Danio rerio: one gene and its partner. The protein of the gene in region 1 interacts with the protein of each later gene in a biochemical or structural test. Links are inferred from orthologs where the notes say so. Each region holds a gene or a part of one and is shown on either strand. Other genes may lie near its edges.

Region 1 (3,833 bases):
ATTCACAGGTGTGAAAGCACCCTAAGTTTACAGTACGGTAATATCACTACAATAATATGGGCTGAAACATAGACTGTAATTGCTGCTCTCTGAGTGTAAACATGTAAACACTTTAATCAAACTATTTCCATCATGTAGAATTTTCGCCGCATCTTGTGACAGGATAGTCTATACACATACAGATTTCTAACGCTACCTACAGAGTGCATCTAAGTTACCGAGAAATGCGGAAAGTTTTTTTTCTCCCATTTGCCGTGCGGTATCAAACATCCCATTAAAACTACATTCTTCCAGCAGTTCCTTGCATCCAACATCTCATTTTTCGCAGGGGGCATGCATGAAATGTTCCTGAATGTCAAACTGCAGTAAAAGTCAACAAATTAAGAATGTGGCAAATAATTTGATTACTGGTGTCCATGTAAACAGTCACTGTCTTTCTCTCCTGCGTCTGTGTGTTGTTTTAAAAATCAGCACTTGCTCAAACTGAAAACTTCCATTTTTATGCAAACCCTTCCCTCTTTTGCCACTCGACACTCCCACCTAAATAGAGCTGGAGTCACCCACTTTCCTAATTTTTTTCAAACTAGGTGTGAAAACACCCTGCTGAGACAGGGAGAGTTTAATGGCCCTTTAAACTTATAACACTCATTTAAATCTTAATACCGGGCCAATAAGATGAATGACAACTCAGTGATTTTTAAGCTTTATTTTAGTATAACCGAGATACTATTGTAGGTTTTATTTGTTTTTATTTTTGTTGTGCTATTTAAATATTTCTGTTCATTTAAATAGTTTTTATTGATTTAAATGTGAAAAGCATAAAAAAATACTTCCACAGCACTTACTCATTTTAGTTCATATTTTTTCAGCATTTACTAATACATTAAACTGGATCTTTTGTTTAATGCCAAGTCAACTTCAATGCAAACACTATTCAGAACAATACAAATAATAAATACAATAAAACAAACAAAACGTGTATCCCATTACATTTTCCATAATACAGATATTTTCTGGCAATGCTTTACTTAAACAGGTCTTTAAGTGACTTCATAAAAAGCCTTCTGCAATATATTATTAAAATAAAGATAAATATTTTGGCTAATGCATTGTGAATTAAAGCAATTTCATCTTTAATAATGTTAACTAAGATTAATAAATGTCAAACAAACATATAGCTTACTGTAAGTTTAAGTTGCCTTATATAGATAGACCTGTCATAAGGAATTTTTGTTGTGCAATATATTGTCCCAGGAATTGTTGCTATAAGCGATATTATTGTCATGTTGAGATCATTTTATGCCAATGATTGTATAATGACTATATAATAATGCATATAGTCATAAACACTTTAAAACACTTATCATTCTTAACGTTATTTAGATTGTAAAATTTGACGTTATTTCCTAGTGATGAGTTGCAGCTGGATGGGCATCCGCTGCGTAAAAAAACATATGCTGAATAAGTTGGCGGTTCATACCGCTGTGGCACCCGCAGATTAAGAAAGATACAAAGCTGAAAAGATAATGAATTTGATGTTAAAAAGGTTAAGGTCCTATTATATATACTATTAAATGTCTTATAAGGTAAATGTCCAGTTATAAATGTTGACACTGGCAAGGTAGAACGTAAACGTAATAGTAAAATGGCTTTAACATTATTTGTGAATTTGTAAAAATATATTGCAATGACAATAATTATTGAGGTGATATTCAAGTATTGCGCAATAAAGTCGATATAATGATTATTGTGACAGGCCTCAGCTTATATATTATATAATGTCAACAAAATGAGTTTTAGTGAATTTTTTTTTATATCAGGAGAAAGAAATTTTATTTTTTAGTTAGGGTTGAACAAAGTTCAAATAAAAAAAACTATAAATATTATATTGACAACTAACTGAAACAAATAATTTTTTTAGTAATTTATTCATTTATTTTATTTTCGGCTTAGTTCTTTTATTAATCCGGGGTCACCACAGCGGAATGAACCACCAGCTTATCCAGCACATGATTTAAGCAGCGAATGCCCTTCCAGCTGCAACCCATCTCTGGAAAACATCCATACACACTTATTCACACTCATACACTACGGATAATTTAGCCTACCTAATTCACCTATACCACATGGTCTTTGGACTGTGGGGGAAACCCATGCGAACGCAGGGAGAACATGAAAATTCCACACAGAAACGCCAAATTAATTTATTTTCATAGTGAAATTAAAGGGATAGTTCAACCAAAAACGAACATTCTGTCATTATTTACACACTATCCACTTGTTCCAAAAAATCTTGTGACAATTTTGAATACAAAAGAAGATATTTTGCAGAATGTTGGAAACCGGTAACCATTGGCTACAAGAGTATTTATTTTTTGTCAACAATGGATGTCAATGGTTGCAGGTTTTCAGCTTTCTTAAAAAATATCTTCTGTGTTCCACAGAAGAAAGAAACTCAAAGGTTTGTAACCAACTGAGGGCTAGTAAATAGTGGGTCAATTTTTGATTTTGGGTGAACTATCCCTTTAATGTTACAGTTTTAGTCTGTCACACCATAAACCAAACATAACAAACCATCAGCAAGCATATTAAAACCTTCTTGTAAAATCTCTTGGCAAAGCATTGTTTTGGTATGATAACAAGAATGGCTTTCTACACGTCTTATTGCTTTCAAAAGTTAACACTGAGCTTTTATTTTGGAGGAAAGCAGGAAGTGCTTAATGCTTCTCGATAAAACTACTCTCATAACAAATTTGACATAGTTACAACGTTACGTTTCAAACCAAGTAGTTTGTACTGTACTTTATAAGCGACCCAAACTCACAGCGTTTGCAGAGAAGGAGTACATATGGAGCAGCATTTGCTGTGACCAAATCCGCTCTGAAAACACCGGATCCCCGCATATAGACACACACTGCGCCGCGCTTCACCAAACATACCACGCCTCATCCTATTTCTGTACTTAAAGCTCAGACTTTGCTGTTAGAATGGCAGTTTCATAACATCTTTCCATATTATTATTATTATTATATCGCGTTTAATAGCGGCTCAGCGAGTAAATCTCAGACCCTCTCTGAAATACAGGAGTGTCCCACGCGCACACTCGCTAGAGGGCGCCGCTTTATCCTCCCGGGCTGTCGGAAGAAATCCGTGGATGAGAAGTATTTGAAAAGCAGGATTTTGCAGTTTGTTTAGTGACTGTTCAAGACAACTTTGCGAGTCACGTACATCAGAAAAACTCAAGTCGGAATACAATTCTACATCGCTCATAACAATGGACATATATTATTCAGTGCTAATGATCCCTGAAAAAAACAAACACGCCAGGAAACGTTAATATAGTGGTGTTTGAGTGAGTTTTCATACCTGTGCAGAGGCCTGTCCTTCAGCCCTGGAGCTCATGGCGAGGGTGGGGCTTCCGCTGGGGGCGGAGCTGGTCGACTGTGACCTCCCTTCAGACCGCCTGGGCGTCACCGTGTTACTGTAGTAACCGCTCACCTCCTGATATCCGCTATCTGAGTAGGAATTCATCTGAGTCGAGCTGCGCGAGTTTGCAGCAGACCCTGAGCAAGCGAGAACAACAAAACACTGAGACAGGCAACTGATTTTTCAGTTCAGGAATGGTAAAACATTTGAACTATGGATTGCTGGGTTAAAGCTCCATCAATTGAATCCGTGGCCTGTGTTCGATTATACAGCAAATAACGCCTCATCGCGCAGGCTGTAAAAGCAAATGAGAATACACACACTTTGATACCAAGTCTACGTTAAACCTAACATGTTGTGATACTTGTTTTACTGTAGTATCAGCAATATTTGCGAGTGATCATTCT
Region 2 (3,833 bases), on another chromosome or scaffold:
TTATTTGAAAAGCAAAAATTTTTAGCAATTTACAGATTTTGGTCACTTTTTATCAGTTAAATGCTTATTTTTGGTGTTAGAGTTTTAATATGTTAATACATTTATTTATTAAACAAATAAATACTGCAAAATTGTTCAGCTGTTAATGTACTGTTATGTAATCATACCTTTGTCCCATAAAAAATAGACAAACAAAAAAAGTTTCGTAATTTAATGACCTTAAGTCCGTTAATCAATGTGAGTTTTAATTATATTGCTGTTGTAGGCTGTAATTGCGTTTGAAATTATATAATAATTTGTAGAAGTGATATGAAACTCTAATGGTTTCTATTTTTTCTACTATAAAATTGCATTTAGCTTGCCTGTTTAAGGAATAATTAATGACAAGCTGTTGAATTATTCTAAAATAATGCACCCTCAGCTTGATAATATTCCTTTGTGTGGAGTAGATTTATTCTAAAATAATGGTCCCTCAAATTGCTAATATTCATTTACCCATTACCTTGGGTTTAATTCAGTGAACTCAAGTCAGTTAATCAATGTGGGTTTTGAATCTCTTGCTGTTATGGGCTGTAATGACTATAATAATTTGGAGAAGTGATATGAAACTAATACTTTCAAAATCAGTCTTCTTTAGCAGTGCAATTCCTGAAAAATAAACACCGTAGAAGGTGTATAATCCAACCAGAATCAGGCATTCAGCAGCCCCAAGCTATAAATGTACAGTGCACTGCATGAATGAGTACATCCAATTTGAAAAATAAGATTTTCATCCATTTCTCATTGAACATCGGAAATATATGTTGGTGCGTTTAAACAAAACAGATTCAATAAACAGTTATATTGATTAAAATAAGAGTGTTATTACCAAACATCTTATACAAACATCTTACATAAATGTTATATTTTTTTGGCTCTCTTTAATTTTCCTATTAGGATTTAATCTAATATTATTCCCTAACACATTCATTGTTGTGTACATCCTTTTTCTCTGTGATATTGTTATTTTGCCAAACTAGTTTTGGCTTTGGTACTAACTCATCTAATGTTTAAACACATTTTGGTGACTGTTGCTTTAAATTTAAATGAGATTGTGCTGTTCTCAAAAAAGGGCGGAGCTACAAATGCCTGTGTATAAGCATAATGGCGGATACAAAATGACTAACATTCTTAGCCAATGAGGGAGAGATTGTCACTAATGGGCGGGGCTTTCTCCCTCTGATGACACGTACAAAGGGGGAAAGTAATTCAAAGTGTTTCTGTTTTTATCAAGAGTGATTATAAAAAATAAAATAAATAATTTTTTACTATGAGAAGCTGCTCAAATTCACACACTGTTGCAACACAACTATGTTAAGCCAGCCCCTTATAAAAGTGATTTTTGCATAATAGCTCCCTTTTGAAAGAGAGATATTTAGGTTTTGTACTCTTTTATGAAGGAGACTGTTTATATTTTTGATCAAATCTTTGATTAAAGTGACTAATCAGTGTATGTTATGCATTAGCCGAGGAGACCAGCTTCTAGAAGTGGATTCTGTGAGCCTGAGACACGCGGCATTAAGTGAAGCCTATGCCATCCTGAGTGAATGTGGACCAGGCCCGGTCAGCCTTATCATCAGCCGCCATCCAAACCCTAAAGTAAGAGCCAAACACAGACACTATGGCATCTCCTCAAAAAATGACTGCATATACAATCTTACTCAGATTAACAAGCTTGCAAACTTACCCTAATTAATAGTCTTGTTCAAAGGGTACAGATTCTTTAGGGTCAAATGAAGTAAATATTTGATGCCCATAGAAAATATTAATAAAGCAACACAAACGCCCTCTAGTTTCTGAACTTGTTTTCATTTATGAATAAATAGACCGCATCTATGAGTGTGGTGATGTGGTCACACTCTTGCAGTCACAAGGGCCCTTCCTCTGACAGACTGCTGCAAGTGGAAATAAAAAAAAATAACCATCCACCTGTTAAGCTGTAATTTGCTCCTAGCATGAATCATTGAAGCCCGACAAAAAAGTAAACAACATTCCTCTCCCCCTTCTGCTCGAGCAACTTGGTTTCCATCCACCTAGTGATTCAAGATGTTGAGAAATGTGCACCAGGGTGGGGTACAGCGGGAGGTTTTGGTGGTTAGAATATGCTGACTGTTCACTTGGCCTGAGAAATGAGAGCCTGCACTAATGTGAGCAGAACGATGTTAGGACTAGCCTCACACTTAGCATGTGACATGAGAATGTTAGTCTTTCACACTGAGGTACTGACCGTATGTCTACTTATACAGTTGAGGGAAAAATTATTATCCCTCCTGTGAAATTTGAATTCCTTTTCAAACATTTCACAAGTGTTGTTTAATAGAGCAAGGAGGGTTTCACTGTGTTTCCTATGATATTTTTTGCCTTATTAACCTAAATCGCTTATACACTCAGCGACCACTATATTGGGTACATTTATAATATCTATCTATTATATCTATTTATAATGTGTATAATGAAATACTGGTCTGAGTATTTCAGAAACTGCTTATCTACTGAGATTTTTACGCACAGCCATCTCTAGGGTTTACAGAGAATATTTGGAAAAAGAGAAAACATCCAGTGAGCAGCAGTTCTGTGGGCGCAAATGCCTTGTTGATGCCAGAGATCAGAGGAGAATGGCCAGACTGGTTCAAGCTGATAGTAAGGCAACAGTACCTCAAATAACCACTCGCTACAGCTGAGGTATGCAGAAGAGCATCTCTGAACACACAACATGTTGAACCTTGAGGCAGATGGGCTACAGCAGCAGAAGATCACACTGGGTGCCATTCCTGTCAGCTAAGAACAGGAAACTGAGGCTCCAATTCGCACAGGGTCACCAAGATTGGACAATAGAAGATTGGAAAAACGTTGCCTGGTCTGATGAGTCTTGATTTGTGCTGCCATATTCAGATAGTAGGGTCAGAATCTTGTTTCAACAACATGAAAGCATGGATCCATCCTGTCTTGTATCAACAAGTGGTGGTGGTTTAATGGTGTGGGGGATATTTTTTGGCATAGGACTTGGTGTCTATCCCTTTATGACCACAGTGTACCAATCTTTTGATGGCTACTTCCAGCAAGATAACGCGCCATGTCATAAAGCGCAAATCATCTCAGACTGGTTTCTTGAATATGACTATGAGTTCACTGTACTCAAATGGCCTCAACAGTCACCAGATCTTCATCTAATAGAGCACCTTTGAGATGTGATGGAACAGGGGATTTGCATCATGAATGTGCAGCTGAGAATCTGCAGCAACTGTGTGATGCTATAGTTCGATAAAAAATACAGACTGTGGAATGTGTTTTTAACAGAAATATACTGTAATCTGAATTTATGAATGTAAAATGTTAAAAACAGCAGATTACTGGCAACCACAGCTGCCGGTATTTTTCCGTAAAATTAAAAAAGGAAAAACGTTTTTTGTGTCACCATTGTGGAGGATAGTAGTGTCTGTGTTCAAGTCCAAGATGAACTGAGGGTATTTGATGTTATGCTGCATCTTCTTTTGTTTAAAGGTAACTGTGTAGTTACTAATGCAGTGAAAATCTGTTCGTTAATTGCAATCACACATGAACACATCATTGCATCTAATGACTTTACATTTTTGTGCACTAAGCTATGATTTTGTAAACTGAACATTGCATCAGTTCATGAAATACGGTTATTTTCCACAAATTAATACATTTCTATAAAACTTCCATATTTTTCACCGAAAAACTCTGGCAACCACAGCTGGTGGTTTTTTTTTTTTTTTTGTAAATTGAACCGATATTTTGCACTATAAGAGTTTGCTACTTAACACTCTCTC

The links.
Region 2: the proteins of pkp4 (region 1) and pdzd2 form a complex in vitro, tested with the Homo sapiens proteins (2 studies listed by BioGRID and IntAct, with this or other methods). The link is inferred for Danio rerio from reciprocal best matches to the Homo sapiens genes PKP4 and PDZD2.

The regions. Positions count from the first base shown.
Region 1 is NC_133181.1:13,210,741-13,214,573, forward strand, and holds part of pkp4 (plakophilin-4), read right to left. Parts: intron 3,564-3,833; coding exon 3,367-3,563; exon of another isoform or gene 2,861-3,366; coding exon of another isoform or gene 2,825-2,860; intron 1-2,824. UniProt on the Homo sapiens protein: Plays a role as a regulator of Rho activity during cytokinesis. May play a role in junctional plaques.
Region 2 is NC_133180.1:41,881,691-41,885,523, reverse strand, and holds part of pdzd2 (PDZ domain-containing protein 2), read left to right. Parts: intron 1-1,505; coding exon 1,506-1,638; intron 1,639-3,833.